7 linked regions of the Rattus norvegicus genome follow. The protein of the gene in region 7 interacts with the protein of the main gene of each other region in a pairwise test. Links are inferred from orthologs where the notes say so. Each region holds a gene or a part of one and is shown on either strand. Other genes may lie near its edges. The genes, in order: Leng1, Cdk5r1, Ccdc116, Ttc23, Dcx, Rab3il1 and Mtus2.

Region 1 (4,161 bases), on a different chromosome or scaffold from region 7:
CAGTTTCAGGGGACCCCAATGCCTTCTAGTCTAAAGGCATCGGCAATTACGTGGTACATAGACATGTAACAAGTACTCATTAAAATACACATTAAAAAATATATATATGCTGTATACAAGCTACTGTTCTTAGAATCCTTAAGTGTCTCCACAGAGGTCCCTAGACAGCATACCAAGAACCACTTCATCTTGCCTGACCTGTTTAGCCTTTCTGTGGTACCCTGGCTGGTGTGCTAGATCTTCACAAAGTCTCACTCTGCTCTACTGTGGGCCATGTTTATTCTTACTCTCTGGGCCGTTGTTTTGGAGGCCGTTCCTCTCTGGAAGGATGGCTTTCGCTGCTGTGCCTTTTCTTGCCCAGGTGCTTCTGCATCTCCCTCAAGGGGTCCAGTCGATTTTTGATCTTCTCATCTGGGCTTGGGCCTGGAGGGCAGCCTTTTTGCCCTGGGGGTAGCTGGTACCAGGGAGGTTGAGTTTGGGCCTCTGCTGCACTTTGGCCCAAGTATGTCAGAATACCTAGTGCTTTCTCTTGTCTCTCCTGCAGGGGCAAGAAAACAAAATAGTCTTTTCAGTCCCTCTGGGAGCCCTAGGTGTGGCAATAGAAAAACCCAGCGCCTGAGTTTCTAGAGACGGATTGGTAGGCAGACATTTAACAAGGGAAATTACAAGAACGTTCAGGAACCAGCTTTGCAAAGCATCAGGAGCTTATTTGCAGGAGGAAGAAAAGGAATGCAGTGGCCTGTGCAGTAATGGAAGATGGAAGAAGCTTAATTTGGGAACAGTCCACAGAAAAGCCAAGCAGAGGAGTGATTTTCAGTGGGAGACAGCACCTTCAAAGTTGGGTGAGGTGTAGGAGAGCCACAGTACAAGTCATAGTTTAAAAAGCACAATTGCTGTCTGGAGGTTTGTGCCTGTGATCCCAACACTTGGCCCAGGGGGCCAAGACAGGGGGATTAAAAACTGGAAGGCACCCTGGTCTATGTAGTTGTGATCTCCTCTCAAAATAAAATAGCTTAAGACTTTCTTTAGTCCCATGAAAAAGGTTTAGCCAGTTTAAGTGTTGTATAGCAATAACCAGCTTGTAGGTGATACCTCTCACTGCTAAATTTTCTATGCACTCATCTATCACCATATCCTAACAGTCACAGCCAGTCTCTACCCCACCCACCCATCCCCCCAGGATTCCACCAACAAATGAGGCCAGCTTACTTTTTCCTGTCGTTTCTCTTCCTCATGCTCTTTATTGCCTCTGGGCACTCCTTTTCCTTCTTCCAGCAGCTCCCGAAACAGGTCCACAGGGCCAGAACATGGAGCTCCCTGGTCTGCTGCTTCCAGCTCGGGCAGTGAGTTTCGGCCCCTGGCTTTCTTCCGTAGGAATTCCGTACGGGCCTATGAAGGGTTATAGGCAGTACATTCTGAGTCCAGAAGTGCTGAGGATATAAGAAGGGTCCATGGGCAGGGAGGGCAGTGGTAGCACACATCTTTGATCCCAGCACTCTGGTGGCAGAGGCAGGGGGATTTCTGAATTCAAGGTGAGCCTGTTCTATAGAGTGAGTTAGTTAGTTCCAGAACGACACAGAGAAACCCTGTCTTGAAAAATCAAAGGAAAAAAAGAGATGGGGGAATGGAGGTATTGGGAGCCAAAAAAGACACCACTTCTAACTTTGGGTGGAGAACCATTGTTTTTAAACAGTAAACTGGGCTATCAGAGATAGGTGGGAGAAGACCTCTGGCCTAAAACAGAAGACTTTCCAGCCTGGAGTAATAGGGTAGAGGTGGCTTGTTCAGCTATAGAGCCCCTGCTTAGTGTGTATAGTTCGAAGTTCAGTCCCCAGCACAAGTATGTGCATATTCCCAAACTTGTAGCCAAACATTGCTTTCTGGACAAAGGATCTGAACCCAAGGCATGGCTCCAGGTCACCATTCCAAATACAAACCGACTCCAGATAGAGTCTGAATTGCTCAGGATAGTCTCCAATTCACAATACTCCCCTCTCTGTAGCCTTAGTATCTGGGCGTAATTACAAGCTTCACCTTTTTTTTTTTTTTAAAATTTTAAAGGCCCACACTAATTCATGATCAGATTGGCAAAGAACTTAAGGGTAAACCAAACTGATCGAGTAACTATTAAAGTCTGTGTTAATGCGTGAGTGTACTTCAATACCAGCGTTCAGGTGGCACAGGCAAGCGGATCTCTGAGCTCGAGACCAGCCTAGTGTACACAGCCAGTTCCAGTACAGCAACAGAGACCCTGTTTCAAATAATGCTTCCAGATGTCCTTCGCTCTCTTGCTGAAGCCGTGGCACTCAAAGCAAGGTGACTGCACCCCTCTAAAATGTTCTAAGAGGAATTTCTCAAATCAAGAGCTCTGAAGGGAGCATACACACAGTGGGTGATCAGTATTAACTTGTGCGGGCAACCTATAAAGTAATCAGAATATTTGTCCAACTCTTCCTGTGTGCTAGCCTATGGCCCCTTCAACGCCGGTGGGGAAATCTAGGAAGGTTTTATGGAAGTTAGCACAGGATTTTCAGAGAAACATCGCCGAACACGCCAAACACACCGAGCCGCACCTGACACCAAGTGATAGGCAGGCCGGCCGCGCTTCTGGGCCTGCCCCAGGCTTACCTCTTGCTGAGCGAGCAGCACCCTCCGCTCACGCTCCTTCTCCTCCTCCCGGGCCTGGGCCTCGTCGCGTCGCACGCGAGCGACATTGTCCTTGTTCCGGACGTGCCAGCTCTTCTTGGGTAAGATATTCATGGCTCCAAAGCCGACCTCCGACTGTCAGGCCCACTCTTCAGCACTTCCGATTGGCTCGAGGATGCTCCCGCCCCATGGTTCCACCCTAGCCCGTGCATTGGTTCTGGGCCAATTGCCACACCCCCCTAAACCTTTGTTAGAGATGATTGGCTGAGAAGCTTTCCATCTCAGCCAATCCTAAGCATTTGTAACCTGACCGGTCGCTGCAGGAAGAGGCTGGCGAAGATCTGCCTTGCCTGTCTATCCCTTTATGCAGACACAACCAAGCCCTTCAAGCCGTCATGGACCTGGCCCCTCCCCAAACCTCGTCCACGCCACCAGAACGGGGTTTCAAAACGCTTAATGGACTTGGCTATTGTTTATTAACATGGTTCAATTGAGAGTGTGGCATTCGGTGGCAGAAGGCGTGGGGTTTGATTCCAGAGATGAGAGGGCCCCACTGCTTGGTATATGAAGTCAATGAAGTTTATGATGGGTGTGAGGGGCTGAAGGTCCAGCCAGACTAATCAGGAAACTCCATTCCTTGAGCTCAGAGCTACAGCTCGCTGGGCTAGGAAGACTTTATTTTGTACTTCCTGTGGGCAAAAAAAGAGTGAAAGTGAAGCACACCTCCTCACCAGTGTTCCCCTTTCATCTTCTCATAGAGAGAGCCCTGCCTGGGGAAATCAGCCTAGCTCACCGTCTCTATCTGGCGTTTGAGCTCAGAGATGAGGCGTCCATAACAGTTAGCCAGGGCTACTGTATACATCATCAGGATGCTAAAGAAAACAGGAATGAAAATCACTCTAGAAATCATCTTCATCATATGGCTCCTTAGAAACCAGGATCAGGAGGCTGGAGAGATGGCTCGTAACCCGCACATTAGATGCACTTCCAAAGGTCCCAGGTTCAACGCCCAGCACCCAACAGCCACATGGCAGCTTACGATTGTAACTCAAGTTCGTTACTTCACACAGACATATGTGTCCAAATACCAACACACATAAAACTAAATGAATAAGTAAATTAAAGAAATCACTATCAGGATTCCCAAATCCCTTAAAACCCTTCTTGAGACTCTGAATGCCACCCTTTATCCTCTCATCTCAGACCCAAGAGTACAGACCCTTTGGATGGGTCTGGGGATTTTGCTTAAACCAGAGGTTCAGGTTCCATACCACCTCCCCCTTCATCAAATCCATAAATCCATACCCTAGCCCTTCTTCCTCAGACCCAGGAGTCCAAACCCAGATGTCTTTTCTTAGATCCTATGCATTCGTACTGCAACTCTCCTGCTCTTGATCTAGGCATCCAGGCCAGCCCAACTTCTCCTCTGTTGTACATAGGCATCCAGTCCTCTCTAACACTCAGGTGCCCCGCACCCTACTCCTTTCTCTTTCAAACACTAAATCGCACACATTC
Region 2 (2,951 bases), on a different chromosome or scaffold from region 7:
TTTGGGTACAAAAAGAAACTGGCACTTTCTAACTTGGAAGTACTTCACCTAATGACCTCAACAAGATTCTTGTTTTGGGTAGTTTGCTCAACCGTTGCAGGTGTTGTCAGGAATTCTCTTAGGTTCGGAGTTGGGAGTCTGAGTTAAGATACAGGTTGGCTTGTTTGACAGTATGGGTCTCCAGAACCAGTCCGAAATGAGTGACTTGTAAATAAGCAGTGGCCTTTGTGAAGGATATGGAGGCTGCTTGTGAACTATGCGTCGCTAGTCAGAACCAGATTTATTTATTTACGTATTTAATTTTGCAATTTTACTGTCATCAAATTTTAAAACGGGCAAATGAGAGACTGGCCTGAAGGCGCAGCAGCTTTGATTTTTGACAGCTGTCCTGACGGGATCTCTAGGCCGCCCTCGCCCTTCTGGCCTGGCTTTCTAGAGTCATGATGGGTGCCGGGCCTTTACGCCGATGCGGGATGCGGCTTTCCCTTGTGGGAGCCCCGGCCAGCTCCACAACGCCCGCAGCCTCCGCTGAGGGGGCCGCGGCGGGAACAAAGGCAGCACGTGTCTGGGCGGGGCCGCCCTCCGCCCCGCCCGCTCGCCCGTTCGCCCGCACGCCCAGCGAGCTCCGCTGCGCGGCTCCGGGGCTCAGGAGGCCGGGCTGCGCCGCGCGGCGCCGGCGGCTTCCAGGTGGAGACCGGGCTTCGCGCGTTCCCGCCGCCCGCGCTGCGACCCGTATGGGGCGCGCCCACTAGAGGCGCCATTGTGCGCCGCTCGCGCTGAAGATGCGAGTGCGGCGAGACTGAGCGGGCTTGTGGACCGCGCGCGCAATCTGGAGAGGCAGCTTGGGGGGCGCTCGCCGGGGCGGGGCGGGGCGGGGCCGGCGGGTGCGCGGCGGAGACGCAGGCGGGGGCCGGGCGGGGGCGGGGCCGCGGCGCCTGCAGAACCTTGGACAGAAGCTGAGAGCCGCCGCCGCCGCCGCGCCGAGCCGCGCCGAGCCGCGCCGAGCCCCGGGGCCGCGGCGCGCATTGCGGAGGGTCTGGGACGCAGCGGCTGCGCCTGCCGCGGGGAGCCTGCCTGCGGGTAAGCCTCCGCGGACCGGGGCCGTGTGCGCGGCCTGGTTGGACGCCTGCGGCGGCGGCCGCTGCGGCGCTTGGCTGGTGCCGCAGTGGAAGCATAGGCTGGGGCTCCACGGGGCCGCAGCCCGGGGGGCTCGGGCCTCGGAAGTGCGGGCGGAGGGGCGCGGCGCGGAGCCCCGCCCGGGGCTGAGAACCATCTTGTTTTCCACGCAGATCCGCAGGGCTACACGCGTCGTGTCCCGGGAGCGCCTCCTTTCTCTCTGCGGCCGCTACAGGCTTGGTAAGCCTTTTTCTCCCTCCGGCCGGCAGGCTGGGCGCGCAGGGGTGCCGGCCCCTGCCGGGCGCGCAGTGGCACCATGGGCACGGTGCTGTCCCTGTCCCCCAGCTATCGAAAGGCCACACTGTTTGAGGATGGCGCGGCCACCGTGGGCCACTACACGGCCGTGCAGAACAGCAAGAACGCCAAGGACAAGAACCTGAAGCGGCACTCCATCATCTCGGTACTGCCTTGGAAGAGGATCGTGGCGGTGTCAGCGAAGAAGAAGAACTCCAAGAAGGCGCAGCCCAACAGCAGCTACCAGAGCAACATCGCGCACCTCAACAATGAGAACCTGAAGAAGTCGCTGTCGTGTGCCAACCTGTCCACGTTCGCCCAGCCCCCGCCGGCCCAGCCGCCCGCACCCCCAGCCAGCCAGCTTTCTGGCTCCCAGACTGGGGTCTCCTCTTCTGTCAAGAAGGCCCCGCACCCTGCCATCACCTCCGCAGGAACACCCAAACGGGTCATCGTCCAGGCGTCCACTAGTGAGCTGCTGCGCTGCCTGGGTGAGTTTCTCTGCCGCCGGTGCTACCGCCTGAAGCACTTGTCCCCAACGGACCCCGTGCTCTGGCTGCGCAGCGTGGACCGCTCCCTGCTTCTGCAGGGATGGCAGGACCAGGGTTTCATCACACCGGCCAATGTGGTCTTCCTCTACATGCTCTGCAGGGATGTTATCTCCTCTGAGGTGGGCTCGGACCACGAGCTCCAGGCTGTCCTGCTGACCTGTCTGTACCTCTCCTATTCCTACATGGGCAATGAAATCTCCTACCCGCTCAAGCCCTTCCTGGTGGAGAGCTGCAAGGAAGCCTTTTGGGACCGTTGCCTCTCAGTTATCAACCTCATGAGCTCCAAGATGCTGCAGATCAATGCTGACCCACACTATTTCACACAAGTGTTCTCTGACTTGAAGAATGAGAGTGGTCAGGAGGACAAGAAGCGACTCCTCCTGGGGCTCGATCGGTGAGCCCCTGTAGCTGGTATCCTGGCTCAAGGATTCCATTCGTTTTTAAAATTTATTATTAAAGAATCAAGTTTTGTGTACAGTATGTGTCTAGCAGAGCCACCAAGGGCCTCTTCCCACGTTCTTTCCTTGGGTTTTTTTTTTAGCCCTTTCAAGAACTCTGGGGACTTTCGAACTGATGAACCTTGTGGGAACCCAGAAGATGCATTCAGAGCCACCTCGGCTGCTGACCACTCTCTTTCCGGGGCTCAAGGGACTGACTCGTCTACGTCACCTGTACCCACGATGGATCCAGGGTAGATGAGGCTTCCCGCTGTCCCATGATCTGAGCTGAGCCCCGAGGCTGGTGGCCCAGGAGGAACCAGCCCTTTTCTGGGTATTGTTTCATTCTCTCAAAGGCTCCTGCAGCCAGCCGTTCTGGTGTGGCAAGATCTCCACTGCCCCGGGGCATCAGTGAAGGCGCCTGGGAGTGGGTCTGGTGCAAAGATTGTTGGTGACTGTTGGCCGCGCACGGCCCTGGTCTGCTGCTTGCTGTTCAGAGAGAAGGGCTTTCTTTCCTTTCCTGGCAGGATGGAGCTCCCTCCCCGTCCTTTTGTCT
Region 3 (4,050 bases), on a different chromosome or scaffold from region 7:
GGGAAGGAATGGGGAGAACACAGGGAAAGGGAAATGGGAGTGGAGATGGCAGGGAGTGGCAAGACTATGCTGGACCTGGCCCCTGAGTTGGCCCTGGCAGGAGGCCACCTCCACTGTGATCCCAGGGGCAGGCAGGGTGAGGTGCAGGCCATGGCGGGGCTGAGGTATATGGTTGTGGTTTGAGGCTGTAGTTTGTTTCTGCAATTTGAGGTCAGAGTTAGGAGACTTCAGCATGCACTGGGATGAGGGGATAGGGACATTAGAGACTTCTGTAGGTGTCACCTTGAGCCTGAATCTGGTAGCCATCTGGACTGCATTAGATGGGGAGCCCCTTCTGTCCTTGCTTTTTCTGTGAGATGTCTTAGGGCTGGAGGCCGAGGTGGGAGAATAACAAGTCTCTCCCCTAGCCTCCCTGTCGGTGGGTAAGGAAGCCTTAGAGCTGGGTTGAAGATCGGAGTTCCCAGGAAACACTGGAGACAGCTCTGAGGTAACAGGGAAGAGGGGGAAGCCATTGTGGCGGCAGGCATGGCTCAGCTTGTCTACAGCCTGGCTGACCACACGCTGCAGGGCTGGAAAGAGGTGGTGCTCAGACAGGAAATCCAGGGTACGATGGGGTTCCCTGAGTGGACAATAGGTAGGCAGGTTGAAGGAGGTTGGCTGGTTCAGCAGTGACTTTATCTCCTTGTTTAATTCTTGTTTGAGGAAAATCATCTCTTGTTCTCCGAGTCCCAACTCTGAAGTTTCAGGGGTGACTGAAGTGGAGGCCAGAAGCCCAGAGAACCAAGACAGGGGCTGTTCCCGGGTCGGCTGACTGCTGCTCTGGCTGCCCAGTGAGTCCCATAGCAGGGAATCCCTCTGGGAGCAGTGTTGATTCAGAACTTTCTGCAAAGAGAAAGAAAAGCTAAGAGGGATCCAAGCAGGCGGAGCCCTAGCCGCTAATCTCACGCCCACCTTCTGCTAGCCTTAGCCATGGCACCAGACCTCACCCCTTTGCTTTCCAGTCGTAGCAGCCTCTTGAGGTTTTTCTCAAGCAGGAGTTTGTCCCTCATGGGTGGCAATGAGCCTACGCCTCTGGCACCCAGGTCACTGTCTTGGCTGCGGGACCCCAGCCATCCAGCTGTGACGCTGCTATGGGAGTCAGACATGGAGCTGGAGCAAGATGGGTAATTGTTTGGGTGTCCAGCACACAGCGTGGGCCGAGCACGGTGCCGATGCACAGTGTTGATGCTGGGTCTGCCTCGAGAACGATGCCTACTATTTGGCACCTCCACTCGGTCTTGTACATCCACCAGTGGCACTCCAGCCTCTGTCTTCATGGTAGCCACACATTCTGTTGCCTGCTCCACGACTGTCTGCAAGCTGTCCAGTACCTGACCCTCCGTGAGGAAATCCAGGAAGCCACCAAATGCCCGAGGGCGCCTAAGGTTTTGCTGGTGGCCCTGGCGCTCTGAGTATCGGTTCATTGATGGTAGGTGTGGTACACGCCCAAGCTTGCAAGTTGGCCTCATCTCTGGCAACAGATGCTTCTTGGGCAGCTATATTGGAACAGAGAGGGTTGTCATAACAGGCAGGATGCCCTGCAATGGGTGAGGAGCAGTCCTCCCGGGGTGCCATTAGGAGCTGGTTGGTATTGAACAGTGGAAAACTTTTTTCTTTAAGGTTTCTCGAGGCTAGGAATTAAACCCAGGGTCTTGAACATGATATGCAAATGTTCAGCCACTAAATTACACTTAAAATTTTTTTCAACAATTACTTGTGGGTACATGTGCATGTAGGTATGCCTCAGTGCAGGTATGGCAGCCAAAGGACAATTTGGTGTGACTGGTTCTCTCCTTTTATTATGTGGATCTTGGGGATAAACTGATCATCCCCAAGTCAGATCATCAGTCTTGACTCAAAGTGCCTTCACCCACTTAGATACTTCACCAGCCCTGAGTTACATTTTAGAATCGGGTAATCCTGAGTTTGAATCCCAGCCAGCTCTGCTATCTTCAGGATCTATGACTATGCTCACAACAGCCCTTTTCGAGGGCTTCTCTTCAAATTACAGGTCTATTAGGGTTGCCCTGAAGGTTTCCCAATGCCTCTATTTCATATATGCCAGCCCTAGTTGGGAGTCTGAAAGTGGAGTTCTGTGTTCGTGGTATGAAAAGGCAATTATGGGAGCCCTCCGCCCTCAGGCTCTAGCAAAGGTCTACACTGTCTTCATTGCTGTGCTACACTTGAGGACTCGATTCTGTGTCTCCAGCTTGAGTCCTGTACGCTCCTTCTCAGGGCTCCTGGTCCACCCAAGTACTATCTGGGGCCAAGGGGAGTGGCTCAGCAAGCAGGCATAAGGTAAGGCGACGCTACAGTAAGGATTTCACCAAGTGACCCAGTAAGATCAGCTGGACATGAGAAAGCAGCAGCAAGTGGTGGGTCAGCTGGATATACTTACCCGAGCCACATAGGTGCCGTGAGCAGCCTCGTCGTCAGCCAGATAACCTGAGTGGTGGCGGCACCTTGCCATGATGTGGATAATTAAATTTGTTTTCTGCTTCCTTCTTCAGGTCCTACAGCACAGATGCAGACTCCTCTGTATGGGGCGGAGAGAGGAAGTAAAGTTAGGTCCAGGCCTCCATGGACCCCTCATTCCCTGTACTTGTGTCCTCCAGACGTCCCAACTTTCCCTGCTTGGACTGGTCACTTATCTGTGGACATTCCCAAGTCACTGCCTTTTGTTTGCAACTGTGTCTGGGTCCAAATGTGTGTCCAGACTTCTTTCTTTCAGACCTGAGGCATCCTGGAGCCCCCAACCTGCTTACCAGAGTCTCTGCTGTGCTTCTAGGGGTTCACTCATTCAGCACCCTTTAAAGCTCTACCGCACAGTGCACTGGAATCCTACCCTCGCAGCCTCCCAGGATGCTCATTTACATACCTCATCCTGATTGGCCAGAATCTGGCCTCTCATTCACTATCCTCCCCGACACAATGGTTGGGGGAGGGGCCCAGATTGGCTCCTCCCCCACCTTGCTGGATTTTTAAGTCAAGCCAGCTAAGTAAGTAGCGCTTGGGGATGGTTATAGATAAGACTTTATTCAGCCAAGAGGTCTGAATCTGGGGCTTGTCTAATCCTCAGGGTGAAAGTGATAGCCTCAACTTGTTATTCAAACATCTTCCTCAGCTCATTCCTGGACCTCCTACTCGTTGTCTTCCTCTTAGGACCCCATTCCCTCATTGGTGCAGCGTGGACTAGCCCCTCATCTTCCTTTTTAAGTGAAGAGTCCTGGTTTTCTGCACAGCCTAGTTCCTGTCCCTGCTTTTTCTTGCTGATATGACTTAGTCCCTTAACACCAGCTCCTCATAATGGAGCTGAGCACCCTTCCACAAATGAGTATTACAACACATTTTGCACCTTAAAGTCCATATAAACTCACTTCTACAGTTTTCCTTCTCCCTTCATCCTAGAAAGCCTGTCATTGCCAACATATCCACAGCAAGTCCATCCTCCACTGCCACATTGTTTCTTTCTTGTCTAACAGCTGTACTGTTAGGCCGTGTAGGGCAGGAATCAAAGCAGTGAACCCTAGTCCCTAATAACTCCATTCCTCATACATAAAGTAAATGCTTAATTTTCTCTTCCCAATCTGTGGTTCTCAGGGTCCCATGGCCTCTGGCCTTCCCAAGAGCAGCTTCTCAGAGAGGCCCAGTGGTTGAATGACACTGGATGGTTCAGCAATCACTATGATCAGACACAGCAGTGTTTATGCCAAGAATTTGGCTGAAGCGTTCTCCGAGGCCTCCAACCATTACAAAGCATCATCAGGTACTGTTTTTTGTTTTGTTTTTTTTTTTTTGTTGTTTTTTGTTTTTTGTTTTCTTCTTCTTTTTTTTTTTTTTTTTTTCGGAGCTGGGGACCGAACCCAGGGCCTTGCGCTTCCTAGGCAAGTGCTCTACCACTGAGCTAAATCCCCAACCCCATCAGGTACTGTTATAATCAAACTCTCTCCCTTCTCCCGTGATGCAGGGATCAGATAGGATCGATGAAACCAGAGCAGGCCAGGCTCCAAC
Region 4 (3,500 bases), on a different chromosome or scaffold from region 7:
CCTCCTAGCAGCCAGAAAGAAAGGAGAGAGAAAAGAAGGGAGCCAGGTGCACACCCTCAGTAGCATGATTTCCTTCAGTTAGATTCTCTCTTAAATGTCTCACTACCTTCTAATAGTTTCACAGTCTGGAAACCAAGCCTTTAGCATGTGAGCCACTGGGAGGCAATCTAGACCCAAACCACAGCAGCTCCCAGGGTCTCTGACTCCTTTTTCTGTCACCAGCTGGAGAAGATTCTCTATGGTCAGAAAAACCCTAGGTGTCTGGCATAGTGGTGCCAGCACTCTAGAGTGCAGAGGCAGGTTGATCTCTGTGAGTTCAAGGACAGCCAGGGCTGTCTCAAAAAACAAATTAATAACAAAAGCCCATGTGATTCAGTGGTGCCCAAGAGATGTCACTTTCTAAAAGCCAGCAGAGACCTGTGATCTCACAGCACACTCAGGACTCTGGCCCAGAGCCACAGGGATGAGTAGCAGTGAAGTCGCCTTTGAAGCACCATGCTGGCCTCTTACCAGCAGCTTCACTCAGCTTCCTACCACAAACCAGCCTCAGGCCCCATCCCCAGTCCTGATCAGCCTGGGAAACCCGGGTGCTGAGTGGATACACTGTTTCTAATAGGTCTGTGGAGTGCTCAGCCACTTTCCCTTGTTTGCCACAGTCTGGCTGTGGCCCTCCTGAGGCCCTTATACTAAAGGCTTGGCCCACAGCCTGTGCTACTACTATTGACCAGCCTCAGAACCTCTCAGCGGTGACGTCGGGAACCCCGGTCCTTCCTGATTCTCCCCACTTCTAGTTACCATGACATGATATTACAGGTTCTCTTAGCCTCGGCAGAGCAGAGGCAACAGTCACTGAGTCATAGACCGACACCTCCGACAACATGAGCAAAACATGGCCTTCCTCACTTTAAGTTGCATTAGATTAGCTCAGGCATTTGGTATAACAAGAGGGCTGTCTATAGTCACAGTTCTGGTTTTTAATTTCATTTTCATTTTCCATGCCTGGGCTCTTCCCTGTCCTGCTTTTATGGTTGTCATTTACTTGAAACTTTTTGTTTTATTAATTTGTGTGTTTAAGGGTTTAGAATGGTTGGGGTTCTTCAGTAGTTTATCAACCAGACTTTTTTTTTTGTCTTTTTTTTCTTTTGGTTCTGTTTTGTTTATTGGTGTGTGTGTGTGTGTGTGTGTGTGTGTGTGTGTGTGTCCATGTGTGTCCATGTGTGTGTTTGTGTGTGTATGTGTGTGTATATGTGTGTATGTGTGTGTATATGTGTGTATGTGTTTATGTGTATGTGTGTATGTGTGTTTGTGTGTGTGTATATATGTGTTTGTGTGTGTGTATGTATATGTGTGTTGTAGAAATATATAACAAGATTACAGTTAGAGTCCATAAAACTGCGTGAGCTGTGAAGAGTGACTGATGTCTAAGCAGAGATAATGCACTCTCACTCAACATGACAATACCCTAATGTGTCCTAATGTGCTCAGGTCTGGGGACAGTTTCTCCTTTCTCACCCCATTAATTTTGCTTTGTATGTCACAAAGAACACTAAAAATAAGGAAAGCAGGTTGCAGTCTCCTTCTGAGACTTAAATAATCTCTGCCAGCACAGGCAGGATAGTGGGCCCCAGAGAGTCCCTTGGACTGACGTCTCTTCTCCAAATGCTCGTGTTTTAAATGTTTCACTGTCACTAACAACATCTTTGCTCCATCTCTGCTTGGGTCTTTCAGCTGTTTTCAAAATTGTTGTTCTATGCTTTTCTCAGATGTGGCCGAGAAGTATTTTCAGGAAAGCATGACTTACCTCAAGGATTCCGAAGGAACAGAAAAAGCCAAGTTCCTTTCGATTCAAGATGAATTTTGCAGTTTTCTGCAAACCATTGGACAAAAAGAAGTAAGTGAGTTTAGATCACAGTTGTCAAGCTATTCACATGGCACGCCAAAGACTTCTTCACTCTGCCAGCATCTACTGAGCACCTACCATGTACAGAGTGTGTCCTAGCCTTGGAGGGACCCAGGTAAATAAATGAGGGAGCCGCTCTGGGCAGCAACCAGATACTTTCTCTTAGAGACAAAACTGTGAGAAAGTAAATGGTCCATCCAACTCTGAATGATCACCACTGAGGCTTAAAAACCGTGAGCACCCAGTGACAGAACCCTTCTCAGGACAGCCTGTGGTGCCTCCAGCTGGGATGCCGTGTGGCAGTCGGTGCAGCCAGCTTTTCCCTTCTCATTCTGAGCACTGAGTGGGATTTTTACATAATGGAAACTACAGAGCACATCGGTTTCAGCTCTCCCTCCCCACTGCTGGCCTGGAACGGCGGCACGCTCGACATCACTTAGAGAAGGGGAGCAGGGCACTTACAGGTGCCAGAGCCTATACCCACTGTGATATAATGCCAAGGAGCATGTGCCCCGCAAACTGTAACAGTTCCAAAGGGAGACCGTAGATACCTCAGAGGCTGAGGGAGAGAGAGAGAGAGGGAGAGAGAGAGAGAGAGAGAGAGAGAGAGAGAGAGAGAGAGAGAGAGAGAGAAGCGCAGCCCAGCACAGCAAATCTTGGAGATGAAGAAGATGGAAAGTGTCTTTCCTGTGTTGTCTGGAAACTTGCTCCCACAGCGCTCTCCTCATCCACAGCGCTCTCCTCATCCCTAGTTTCTTTTCTGTCAGCTAAGGAACATGACTCTTCTTCTCTACTCACCCGAGTCCGTCAGGCCGGAGTAGATCCAGAGTCACTATAGCAAATAGTGTCTCACTGTTCTTACGAATCGCCCAATCAAAGATAGAGAAGGCCCTGCTAGGGGATCACGTAACAGAGATAGAGGACCATGGCCTTAGATTCCCACCCTGGACGCTATCTCGGTCCTATGGGAACTTTGAAGCTTCCTCACTCACTTCCAGGTTTCCTTAATAGACACCTGGTTTAACCCTTCCCCTCCTGCCAGGCTTCATCTCTTGTCAGGACCACTGTGGCACCTTCTCTTCCCCAGGGGCTTCGTCCTGTCTTGCACTTGTCTGTCTATTCAGTCTAGCGCATCTGATCGATGGACACTCGTTGGCCCTCCAGTGAGTGCAATGCCCTCACGGCAAACCCCACACTTCTAGGCTCACTTTGTTCCTTCCCTAAGCTAATTGCCTGCAATCAAAGCTTTTTTAAAAATCTTAAGGCAGGTGTGGGTTTACACAATCGTGTGTGTACAGGTGCATGGGCACACATGTGGAGACCAGAGGACAAGCTGTAGATGCCATCCTCAGGAAGCCCAGACACATCCTTTATGACAGGGTATTGCAACTCACCAAGTAGGCTAGACTGGCTGACCAGCAAGCCCCGGGGATCCATTTCTCTTTGCCTCCCTAGTTCTGTGATTACAGGTGCCTGCTGCCACACCCAGCATTTTTATGTGGGTTCCACGGACTGAACTCAGACCCTCGTGCTTGAAAGTACAAAGACTGAGCCATCTCTCCAGCCCATACTGACTTTTTCTAAAACACGCACGTGCACA
Region 5 (4,048 bases), on a different chromosome or scaffold from region 7:
GTGTTCATTAAAATACCAGACATACCTACAGCTTTCCTTCGTATCTGTCCCAATGATCTCAGCCCCATGGACACGCCCGTAAGTGAGCTTTTCCAAAGCAACAGCTGAGCAGCAACCACTTACCTAAAAGTCTAATCCTCTGCGAACATATCCAGGGATTCCTATATCGAGGCATGTATTTCTAATGACTGGCAATTCCCAAATAATTTCCCAGTGATTCATAGGAAATGTGGGCACAATTTTTATCTGTTAAACCAACCATACATTCTTCCTTCCCCTAATGGTTTCGTGGCCTGCTCTAATGGTGCTACCCAGGGTTACCTATGAACACTATCTAGAGTGAGTGTCACAATTCAGATTTCCCTTTGTATACCTAGGCAGATAAGCACATTTAGCATTAGCAGACCCACATACATTTCAACCACAGCAGAGATGGAACCCCACAAGGAATGACAGTTAAGGGTGTCTTTGGGATCAGAAGCCTGAGCCATCCGTCAACCTGATGTTTTGGCAAACAAATAGCCAGTTTCTTTCAAGGAAGACTAAAAGTATAACCAGAAGCAGGGATGTCCTTTCCCTCCAGGGGCTACCACCCACTACTCGCTACTTAAATTACCTTCTTCCAGTTCATCCATGCTTCCAATCTTTCTGGATCCATCAATAGTGTAAATGTAGCGCACTCCCTGAGGCAGGTTGATGTTGTCGGACAAGGATCGAGTCAGGTCAGCCAGCAATGCATCAAAACTACGAAAACGGTCAGAAGAAACAGCGTACACAATCCCCTTGAAGTAACGGTCCCCATTGCGGTAGAAACGTACCTTCTTGGCCTTCTTCTCATTACTTAATGCCTGCAAGGTTCTGGTTCTGTAGAAGCTACAGTGAGCACTATGAGTGGGACTTGGAAGTCCATTCATCCGTGACCCTCTCATATTTCTAGATGCTTTGTCTCGTTCGTCAAAATGTCCAAAATCAAGTTCCATATTTTGGTGGAACCACAGCAACCTGATTGTTAGGAAAAGGGGCGGGGATAAGGAGAGGCAAAGAATAAGGAAGGGTAAGGGGAGAAAAGAATTAAAATATTAGCCAGATCCAGAGCTGCAATCTGCTGCCTGTGAAAAGAACTGGTTGAAAAAAGCCTGAGACCCATCTGCTGCTTGTCCCTGACCTGCAGGAATATTGATCTTAATAGAGTAGAAGGAGGGGGCTGGGCAGTGGACTGAGGACTGAATGGTGGGAAGGGGGATAGGAGAAAGAGATAGAAAGGGTGGCACTTCTGGCACTGTTCCAAATTTGGGAGGGGGTGTTGAAACAGCTTAAAAACCTGGAGCTTCCTGACAGTGGCTCCTATCAAATTGTAACTTCGGGCAAAATACATTAAAACTGGCATCTGCTACTTCACACATGGCCACATGACTAACAGTTGTAAATGAATCCATAGCCTGACAAAATCCCCTCAAAGAGAAATAGAGGGAACTAGCCAAGGTTAGCATCTCCAGCATAGGAAGCAGTCTTTACAACCCAGGACAATGACTAGTATGGGGGTGTATTAGTTTTATTTCCAGTCCCTTTTTTCCTGCTCTAATATGTGTATCCCCTCCCCCAGAATAAACTAGGATTCTCTTTTAAAGGGACAGCCTCCAGGGAATACCCAGTGTCTTTGTGCTATTCATCAAACCCTCTCTCCATCAAGCTGGTGCTGCTATACCGCATCCATAAGAAGTAGGCTGGGGTCTAAAAGGGGGGAGGGATTGTCAAAAAACCAGTTATTTAGCAAGCTGTTAGCTCTGCTTTCCTCTTGATTCCATTTGATCACAGAATCCTTTTTCTCCTTTCAGGTGCTTCATCCCCTCCCCGACCAATGCAGCGATATCTCTTAATGAAATAATTGGCGAAAGATTCCCAAATGAGTCCCTGAATAGCATATGGGACCTTTACAAGCGAGGACACCTTTCATTGTTCTGGGTTTCCTCCCCTGACTGACAGAACATTTTGTCCTCAAAGCAGGCAATTCACTTCAAACTTGTCTATTGCTTAGGTGAATTAATGGGGGCAAAAGAAAAAGGTCATCTGTAAAGCTTGGATTTCCACCCCCTCTACCCCCCCCCCGAGCCCATCCCCACCAGGAAATAAAAAAGAACGCAACAATGAAAACATGCAACCAAATAATATAACCAAAGCCTCGACCGCTTACAAAGGTAATAACTTGACATCCAAGAAACCAAACTATTAGCATTCATCTCACAGATGGAGGAAAAAGACTCACAAAGCAAGAGGACTCAGCTGCAATACACTGCCACATCAAGATTTGCAAGGAACCGGGGAGACAGGAGATAAAAGGGGGCTGGTAGCTGGTCTATTTGCCAGGTTCGGTCCCCCCTTTTTCTCCAGTGTCACCATGACCTATGCTGAGCTCAGCATTGTCTCTGTCAGACAACCTGCAGTAGTAAGACCCCACCTCCTCAAGATGAGTAGCAAGCATTTTCCCCAGGCAGGCTGTGCAAATAAAGATACGCTTTAGAATCCGAAGTGCTATTATTCTAAATTAGCATCATAGTGAAAACAAAGAAACAACAAACTCACTTTTCCAAAGGAAAATCCCAGGTAGAATCTTAGAGGACAAAAAAATCCTACAGAATAAGGCAAATAAAAGAGAAGAAAGAGGCGGACACACAGAGAAAGAAAGGCGTGTGCCTTGTGCTTCTCCCGTTTGACATCTGTTACATTCTGCTTGAAAATCACTCGAAAGCCCCACTCACCGGTTTTCTGCTGGTTGGGTGGAGATGCTGTGAGAAAGAAAACCAATCTCTCTATGCCTTTGTTGTCTGAGCTCCAAGCAAGAAATTCCTGCCAGGGTGGATAGTTGCCTTCTAGGTCCTAGTGCCTTGTCCAGCTTCTCCCCTGTAACTGAAGCTTAGCGAACACCCCCAACCTCCTATGATTAATTACATGCTTTTTTTTCTTCAATTCACAGCCTGCATTAACAGCTAGAAAGGTTTCGTTTATAACCCACAGGAAATTGCAGGGTAGGAAAAAAAAAGGATTGCACAGGCAAGCTCAGAATGCTCTAATGAGCAATGTGCTAGCCCTTTCTCTTAGAAAATTGGCAATTTTACTTGGCTAAAAATCCTTGGCCTAATCTGCCTAGTGGCTGGACTCAGCAGGCCAAATCAAGTTTCTTAGAAATTACAGCACTCTTCATTTTACCTTCTTTGAAGAAAATAAAAATTTGTAAATTTTCTGACATTTGAGCTTGCGCATCCGACACTGTTTTTTGTTATTGTTGTTGTTGTTTTTGGTTTTGTTTTGTTTAATGAAGTCAGCGGGTATGGCAAATTAATAATACAAGGGGAAATAGTTGCAGAAATCATGAAGGCTAGAATTGAAAAGTGGCACTCCTCCAAGTTTTTGTTCAGTTGTTTTATCGAGCCAGGGTCCAGCTTTATAGTCATAGCTGTTCTGGAACTCACTGTGTAGCCCAGGCTGACCTCTAACTTGTGGAAAAATTTCAGCCTCTGTTCTGCTTCCTTGCTACTAGAATTTGCCAGCACTTAGGTCCCCAAGCCCAACATGTCTACAAAACATTTTAGACTGATGTAAAACATCGGTTAATGTTTCACCTTCCTACTCCTGGGCATATACCCAAGGGAGACTATACCCTACCATAGAGACACTTGCATATCCATGTTTATTACTGCTCTATTCATAAAAGCCAGAAAATAGAAACAGCCCAGATGTCTGCTAACAGATGAATAGGTAATGAAAATGCAAGATATATGCACAATTTTAATCATCCATTGGTAAAAAGTAAAATTATGAAGAAATTGTGGGGAACTGAAAATGTTATACTGAGTGAGGTATTCTAGGCTAAGAGAGACAAAAGGATTTATTTTCTCTCATATGTAACTCTCTCTTTCTGTGTGTGTGTGTGCACGTGTGTGTGTGTGTGTGTGTGTGTGTGTGTGTGTGTGTGTGGAGAGAGAGAGAGAGAGAGAGAGAGAGAGAGAGAGAGAGAGAGATCAAAAAACATGAAAGCAGCCCATAAGAAGAG
Region 6 (3,500 bases), on a different chromosome or scaffold from region 7:
CATGGTTACCACAGCCTGGCAACCAAACATCCCCACAGTACCTGTCTCCTTGCCCTTGGAACAACCTCTAAGACATCTATTCTAAGTGCCAGTTTGTTTTTTTTTTTTTTTTCTTTTTTCTTTTCGGAGCTGGGGACCGAACCCAGGGCCTTGCACTTGCTAGGCAAGCGCTCTACCACTGAGCTAAATCCCCAACCAAGACATCTATTCTAGAGAGAGGGAATCCAAGGCTGACAGGAGACATGGCCTGCCTCAGGCCACACTGTGAGACTCTGCTGGAAGCAGGCATCTAGGAACTTCCTAGAGTTCCTGCTAAGTATTCATGGTTCCCCAGAAGCAAAGAAAAGCGGTCCCAGCTTCACATTTACTGATCGGCCAGCAGACGTTCTGAGAGAGGACACTCCCTGCCTGTGCTCTACCGCCATGGCCAACATTTCTACTTTGGAGGCAGGAGGAGACCTGCAATAACCACTGGATCCTCCTGGGCTCCAGAGGACCCTAGGGAAGACAGTGGTGCACCAAGAGCACTGATGGAGTCTGGTGCCATGGGCTACTTAACTTCAGACCCACCCTACCTGTCCCAGACCTGGGTTCTCCTGTTCCTGGTAGGTCTGACAGGGACCTGCTGCACGCCCTTGCTAGCTGAGGGTTGTACACCCCATCAGGGACTATGACAGGAGCCATGGGCTGGCCTAGGCACACAGGGATGGGTCTCACCTTGCCCCAAGCCTCCTTCAACTGCTTTTCCGATGCTGCCTGCTTCATGTTGGCTTCCCGAACCATCTTGTGAGCTTCCTAGAAGGGCAGCATCTCTGCATGAGCGGTCACAGGACACTGGACACATGGGCCACCCATTCCCAGGCCGCCCAGCGTACCTCAAACAGGCTGGCCGTCAGCTCCTCCAGCTCCTGCTCCAGCTGTGCGCGCACTTTGCAAAGCCGTTCACACTCTTCATCCTTAAGCTTCAGCTCCTGGGTGCAGGCAGGAGGCTGTTAGCCTGCTCTAACCAGGTCCCCAGCCACCAGCTCTGGGACTGTCACCAGGTATCTGACACTCGATGGTACTTTAGCCCATGCGCAAGTTAAAACCCTATCCTGGCATCCCATCCCAGCTGGAAGAAGACTTCCGGGTAAGTCAGGATGTGTGGAAGTCACTTCAGACTTCTGAGCCTTCAGCGACAGAGGGCATGCCTAGCGTGCTTGAAGCCCTGGGTTGAACCAGCCTCTTCCATTGGGTTCCCAGGACTCCAGCATGGGCCAGGCTTTGACAAGTAGTTTCTCCTCTCCCTTCCTTCTACAGCTATCTGAGGTCACTCAGTGTAGCTGCTCTACCTCAGTCCCCAACCCTGCCCTGGAGCACCCACCTTCTGGGCTTTGTATAGCTCCTCCTTTAGGAATTCAGAGCCCTTCTCTCGGATCTCCATGGAGGAGCTGCGCAGGCGTGATACATCCAATGGAGCAGCTGCTGGGTGTTCCTCACCCCCGGCCTCCTCCCAGGAAGCAGAGGCTTCTACCAGGCCTCCTGGGGACTTCCTGTTACCTTTGCTGGGGCCCAGGTTTTTCCAGGGGACTGAAATAGCTGAGAGGCCCACAGGGAGGCCCTCGTCTTGTTGGGGTGGGCTGCAAGGCAAACGAGGACATAAGCATACACAGGGTAAGGACTCAGGACCTGCAGAACTGAGCCCAGGGACCAACCCCAGGACACATCCCTGTCACGTAAGCCTCAGTCTGTCCATCTGTAAAATAGAGCCACTATAAGCTGTAACTAAACCGTAACTGGACTGTTACAAGGGCAGAATGACCAAGCACGAACTTTCTTAGGGGCCAAGGCAGGACTCATGTACCTTTGTTACCCACCATCCCCACCCTTGGGCACAGGGCTTGGTACACAGCAGGCGACCACCACTTTGTTGAGCAGACGAATGGATATAAATGCATCGGTCCTTACACCATAGATAGGATTGTCCCAATGATTCTAACTCCCAAGAGTTGAAGGGAATGGGCAGAAAACCTTGGCACAGCAGAGCCAATTAAATGGGTTTGTTAAAGCGAAGCAAATGTTATCAATGACAAAGCATTGTTAGTGGACATGTCAATATGATAGAAGTCCACAAGGCGGACTAGAGAGGAAGCACCAGGCCTCAACAGGCAGGAAGAGCCTACAAATAGTCCAGGCATAACAGACCCACTTCCTGCCACCCCTGGATTTTGTGAGGAGCAAGATTCAACTCTCCCTGGCCTTCTCTGTGACTAAAGACAAACACACCCTCCTCTGGAAGCCTCAGGACCCTCCGCTTGCTGAATCGGAAGCCCCTAGATGGACTAGGGGTTATGTCCTTAATCAACCCCCACCTCCAAGCTACAGCACACCCTAGAAAGCAGACCCTGGAGAAGGAAGAGAGGAAGGTCTGGCCAGTGACCGTTTGTGCAGAAACAGCGCCTCTGGCTTTGCTAGCTCAGCAAAAATCTGGGGCTCCTGAGCCAGCAGCCTCAGAGCAGCAGTGGCTTGGCGGGTTGGGGGGGCTGGGCTACAGATAACCGTGGGGAAGTGAGGAGGAGGGGCTCAGCCAGGCCTGCACTGGAGGAACAAGGCCAATGAGACTGGGCCTTGGAATAACTGGGAGGAAATGCTGGGGTTTAGCCTCTCTCTTGTCCCCAAGCCCCTGAGAAGCTCTGAGCCTCAGTTTCTCTCTGAGTAACACAAAGAAACTAAGCTCTCAGAGACCACGGCAGTGAGTGAGCCCACTGCCAACTCCTTTAACATGACCCTGGCCACTGCCTAACCCAGCCTTCTCTCTGCCCTGGAACAGGCCTAAGGTATAACCTTGAGGCTCCTGGAACTGGGCTCTGCTTGGCAGAGACTGGGCCTCATTGAATATAAGGTAAGGGCAGAGATTCACCATTCCACCAGTGTGTGTGACAGATTTTCCTAATACCATTTTTTGGGGTGGGGGAGGGGGTCTTGTTGGCACAGGGTTCTTGAGGTCTGAGGCAACCCTATCAGTGCTGTGGCAGCCGTATGGGATGAGAACTCTGCCCAGGGACTGGGAGTTTTCTCTGTGTGTCAGTGTCTGTATGTTTGTGTTGGTACAGCCATGTCTATGCACATGCATGTGGAGGCCAGAGGTCAACCTTGGATGTTGCTTCTCTGGAGTTATCACAGGTCTCTTACTGGGATCTTAGGTTGCCTCAGTTGAGTGGATAAGGAGCCTTGGGGCTTCTCTTGCCTCTTTCCCCAGGATGATGATTATAAGAGTGTGCCACCATGCCTGGCTCAAACTCAGGTCTCCATGCTTGCATAGCAGCATGGCTTACTCGTGCCTCTGTTTGTGTGTGTGTGTGTGTGTGTGTGTGTGTGTGTGTGTGTGTGTGTGTGTGAAGACTTATTTGTATTTATGTGCACATATATGTCCATGGATGTTACATGTGTTTGTACTCATAGGGACCAGAAGAAAGCATTAGATCCCCTAGAGGTAGAGCAGCAAGCAGTCCTGTTGTTCT
Region 7 (3,500 bases):
AATAATGAAATTAAAAAGAAACCCCAAAACTGAGCTCTTTTTTCTCCCCTGGAGTATTTGCACCAGCAGGCACCGAAGCTCTTACACCGTCTTCGTACTGTCATTGTAAAGGCGGGGACCCTGGGCTGGGCGTGGCACCAGATCTCTGAGCGAGCAGCCAGTCCTGTGGTGGCGCTTATCATTTGAGTGTGGATCTCCTGCCTGTGATTAGCTCTCTCTGAACTCTCATTTTAGGTCACAGACCACCCTGGGAAAGAAGAATTTTGCTCTCCTCCCTACACCCACTACGAAGTCCCTCCCACTTTCTACCGCTCTGCAATGCTCCTTAAGCCTCAGCTGGGGTTGGGCGCCATGTCCCGACTCCCATCAACCAAGAGCAGGATTCTGATCGCAAGCCAGAGGTCCTCAGCGGGTTCCATCCATCCACCCGGATCAATCGCAACAGCCACCAGTTTCTACGGTTCTGATCCTTCAGGTAATTAAGTCTAACCATGACTCTTTTTTCCTGTTGTGCATTTAAATATCAACTATGAAATATCGTGACTGTCTCCTTACGACTGCCCCTAATAAGAGAAGCCACTCCCTACTCCTCCGTCTGTGTAGACACAGATGTCCTTGAGAATTCACCTGCAGGGGCTCCCATCTTCCACGCCGCTGTCACAAAACATGGGCCCTTGTTACCACCTCCTGGCTTCTTGTGTAAAGTAATATACATGTTACTCTTAGGATAAATGATTTGAAGTTAATTATTGTGTGAAAATATATCTAGACATAAAAAAATGTTTATCTTTTTTAATTTTATGTGTATGACGTATTGCACCACCTGCATGCAGTGCCAACCGAGGCCAGAAGAGGGCATCAGATACCCGGGAATTGGAGTTAACCAACCATTCTAAGTTGTCAGATGGATGCTAGGAATCAAACCCTGTCCTCTGGAGGAAAAACAGACAGACAACTTCTCTTAACCTCTGCACCATCTCCAGCCTATATTTGAATACGTGTGTGTGTGTGTGCACGTGCTAATTTTCTAGATAGTTTATAGCAGCTATTTTGCCCTAGAGTTTCTCGAAAGTCCCATTTCCTCGAAACTATTGGGTTTTACCATTTTATTTTTGAGCCAAGTCTCACACGTGGCCCTGGCTGGCCTAGAACTCACTATACATACCAGGCTGGCCTCAACTGTCACCATGCCCAGTGACCATTGAGATTATTGTCGGAGAGAAACTTTTTCATCTCTTTGCCATGTATTACTTTGTGAATCGTCGTGTACTCAGAGAGTTACTGATGGCCCTATTTATTTGTTTTCTTTAATAAGCTTCTGTATTGGTGATTCCCACAGTAGCTGTGTATCTTAATAGAATTACCTGTGCTTAGAGCCGGTACAAGTCTGCTGCTTTTCAGTTAGTAGGTAATGATTTCTGGGGGGCTGTCAGCCCAGCTTGCTGTGTAGGGACAAAGAGATCAACACACAAAAATATCCTTGCCCTCTGGGAGCTTACATTTTAAAATATGGGGATGTTTTGTTTTAAAAAAAAAAGCCAGTAAATTACACGGTCTGTTGAAGTGAGTATTGAAGAAAAAGAAACATTAGTGAGGGAGGAGGGGGCCTTTGGAAAAGAAGGAAGGGCGTTGTCTCTTTAAACAGTAGCCAATCCCCAGGGAAGATGAGGGAGGAGCTGTAGTAATTTTTTTTCCCTTCCTGGTCCCATGCTCCTGGAATAATGACTCCAAGATTCAAATATTTTTATAAATACCTAAGCCAAAAGCTTTGGCTGTTCCCTGCTGGTTTATAATTTAATAATCCCATTTATAATTTAATAATCCCATTATTGTCGTCTAAGCTTGGCCCTCCCCCAGAATCCTTCCTGCCTGTTGGATGTCCCACCTTCTAGTTCCTGCCTCAGCTACAGGCCAATCAGCTCTAATTGACAAGTGTTGCATCCATACAGTACACAAGAGATTTTCTTTGCCGGAGAATCCTGGAGGACTTCTGAAGTATTGCTTTCCAGGAAGTGGGAGGAGCCAACGCAAAGGCCGCTGGGAAGCACGGGACTGAATGAAGGGGAGAGTGGCAGAGGAATGGGATGGGGACAGGGAGGGAAGTTGGGGTCAGATAAAGTCTCTTTGCAGGGATTTGACTCTTCCTGTGAGAGGCAGCTGTTGGAGGACTTGAAGCTGGCACACAGGGCACAGTCCAGCTTTTTCTTGTTTAAGCACGATCTCCTTGCCTATAGGGAGGAGAGCAGAAGGTCAGATAACCTATATCATAGGTCATTTCTGGAGTCTACTGAGTGTGTACTCACACGGTCTCTTCACTTGGGCTATGGAACAAATTCAAGCTTGTGTGAGCTGTGAGAGTTTTGTTTGTTTTTGTCTGCCTAATAACATCTCAAAACTTTGTTTTGTCCACCTTGTAAGGCTTTCCACGTTACATCTACAGACTGATGATAAACATTTAAAGAGTGCGTCTCAACCTACCAACGCTGAGATTCTTTAACACAGTTCCTCAGGTTGTGGTGACACACCCCCCCCCCCCCATTTCTGAACTGTAATGTCAATATCTGTGTTTTCTGATGGTCTTAGGTGACCCCTGTGGAAGGGTCCTTTGATTACCAAGGGGGTCATGACCCACAGTTTGAGAACCCCTGATGAGAGCTTTAAGCGACTCTGATGCAGATTCTTAGACATCCCGTTCTCAAGACTCCCTTCTCTCTGCCTCCTCCAACCTAGATGTCGATCGTCCAAAGCCCTCACCTCTGTGCCTCCTCCATTCGCATTCCTCCTTCAAGTGCTGCAGCCTGGAACCTGCCCTCTGAGTGGGCTTTCTCCCGTTCTTTTCTCTCAAGGGTCAGGACCCTGTGAGGGCTCCTGTGCGGTTCCTGAAGTCAGTGGCTGGCCTTTGCCCACATTTTGATAGTTCTTGTTTCCCAGCTGTTCACAGCATGCCGCTGATGCCTCTTGGGTAGGATGTCCCTTACATAATCACAGAAGCTGCTAGCCCAGCCTCCTATGGCTTTCCTGTGTCTAATACAAGGCTTACTCATCTGTGTTTACGCTTTTAGTTCCCGATTACCACGTGGGCTTATTTGCGCGATGTTCGAAGGCCCTCTTTGATGCATGTCTGTCCACGGTTGTGGTTTTGTGTTTAGCCGTCATTCATACTCGATCGATTCAGATACTCTGTCGTGTCTCCTGGGCATTGCCGTATCTGTTTTACGGGGCTCTGAGCAGCACCGCACTGTCAGAAGAGAGCCGGAGTTAGGAGCAGGATGCACGCTTCTCTGAGTGACCGAGCATTTACATGTTTCCAATGTCAAGTAAACACTTACATCCTAAAATCTACGAATAGGTTAGATACCTGAGTTCTAATACACTAGCTGGATGTTTCCCAGCTCAGGTAGGAAGCCTCTTAAATGCCTAATAGCCGTGAGCTCTAAGTGAGTCAGGAGAGGTCCCCAATGTTTCCATTCCACTGCTGGTTTTGCAGGCAGCACCAGGTG

The links.
Region 1: the proteins of Mtus2 (region 7) and Leng1 interact in binary tests that used the Homo sapiens proteins (3 or more experiments, as listed by UniProt). The two-hybrid records come from large-scale screens. The link is inferred for Rattus norvegicus from reciprocal best matches to the Homo sapiens genes MTUS2 and LENG1.
Region 2: the proteins of Mtus2 (region 7) and Cdk5r1 interact in binary tests that used the Homo sapiens proteins (3 or more experiments, as listed by UniProt). The two-hybrid records come from large-scale screens. The link is inferred for Rattus norvegicus from reciprocal best matches to the Homo sapiens genes MTUS2 and CDK5R1.
Region 3: the proteins of Mtus2 (region 7) and Ccdc116 interact in binary tests that used the Homo sapiens proteins (3 or more experiments, as listed by UniProt). The two-hybrid records come from large-scale screens. The link is inferred for Rattus norvegicus from reciprocal best matches to the Homo sapiens genes MTUS2 and CCDC116.
Region 4: the proteins of Mtus2 (region 7) and Ttc23 interact in binary tests that used the Homo sapiens proteins (3 or more experiments, as listed by UniProt). The link is inferred for Rattus norvegicus from reciprocal best matches to the Homo sapiens genes MTUS2 and TTC23.
Region 5: the proteins of Mtus2 (region 7) and Dcx interact in binary tests that used the Homo sapiens proteins (3 or more experiments, as listed by UniProt). The link is inferred for Rattus norvegicus from reciprocal best matches to the Homo sapiens genes MTUS2 and DCX.
Region 6: the proteins of Mtus2 (region 7) and Rab3il1 interact in binary tests that used the Homo sapiens proteins (3 or more experiments, as listed by UniProt). The two-hybrid records come from large-scale screens. The link is inferred for Rattus norvegicus from reciprocal best matches to the Homo sapiens genes MTUS2 and RAB3IL1.

The regions. Positions count from the first base shown.
Region 1 is NC_086019.1:74,465,982-74,470,142, reverse strand, and holds the start of Leng1 (leukocyte receptor cluster member 1), read right to left. Parts: upstream 2,801-4,161; 5' UTR 2,761-2,800; coding exon 2,629-2,760; intron 1,390-2,628; coding exon 1,210-1,389; intron 539-1,209; coding exon 288-538; intron 1-287. Other genes in the region: Tmc4 (transmembrane channel-like protein 4), read right to left, coding at 3,267-3,335, 3,440-3,518.
Region 2 is NC_086028.1:65,980,766-65,983,716, forward strand, and holds Cdk5r1 (cyclin-dependent kinase 5 activator 1), read left to right. Parts: upstream 1-1,273; 5' UTR 1,274-1,432; coding exon 1,433-2,356; 3' UTR 2,357-2,451; downstream 2,452-2,951. Other genes in the region: uncharacterized protein Cdk5r1l, read right to left, coding at 749-1,273. UniProt on the Homo sapiens protein: p35 is a neuron specific activator of CDK5. The complex p35/CDK5 is required for neurite outgrowth and cortical lamination. Involved in dendritic spine morphogenesis by mediating the EFNA1-EPHA4 signaling. Activator of TPKII.
Region 3 is NC_086029.1:97,348,527-97,352,576, reverse strand, and holds the start of Ccdc116 (coiled-coil domain-containing protein 116), read right to left. Parts: upstream 2,801-4,050; 5' UTR 2,691-2,800; exon of another isoform or gene 2,687-2,690; intron 2,578-2,686; 5' UTR 2,510-2,577; coding exon 2,438-2,509; intron 1,536-2,437; coding exon 987-1,535; intron 883-986; coding exon 1-882.
Region 4 is NC_086019.1:130,717,917-130,721,416, forward strand, and holds part of Ttc23 (tetratricopeptide repeat protein 23), read left to right. Parts: exon of another isoform or gene 1-1,763; coding exon 1,764-1,891; exon of another isoform or gene 1,892-3,500. UniProt on the Homo sapiens protein: Participates positively in the ciliary Hedgehog (Hh) signaling.
Region 5 is NC_086039.1:112,301,362-112,305,409, forward strand, and holds the start of Dcx (neuronal migration protein doublecortin), read right to left. Parts: upstream 2,801-4,048; 5' UTR 2,757-2,800; intron 2,746-2,756; exon of another isoform or gene 2,581-2,745; intron 2,461-2,580; exon of another isoform or gene 2,264-2,460; intron 1,003-2,263; 5' UTR 981-1,002; coding exon 617-980; intron 1-616. UniProt on the Homo sapiens protein: Microtubule-associated protein required for initial steps of neuronal dispersion and cortex lamination during cerebral cortex development. May act by competing with the putative neuronal protein kinase DCLK1 in binding to a target protein.
Region 6 is NC_086019.1:216,094,404-216,097,903, reverse strand, and holds part of Rab3il1 (guanine nucleotide exchange factor for Rab-3A), read right to left. Parts: intron 1,620-3,500; coding exon 1,364-1,619; intron 972-1,363; coding exon 876-971; intron 796-875; coding exon 718-795; intron 1-717. UniProt on the Homo sapiens protein: Guanine nucleotide exchange factor (GEF) which may activate RAB3A, a GTPase that regulates synaptic vesicle exocytosis. Promotes the exchange of GDP to GTP, converting inactive GDP-bound Rab proteins into their active GTP-bound form.
Region 7 is NC_086030.1:11,968,004-11,971,503, reverse strand, and holds part of Mtus2 (microtubule-associated tumor suppressor candidate 2), read left to right. Parts: intron 1-234; coding exon 235-475; intron 476-3,500. UniProt on the Homo sapiens protein: Binds microtubules. Together with MAPRE1 may target the microtubule depolymerase KIF2C to the plus-end of microtubules. May regulate the dynamics of microtubules at their growing distal tip.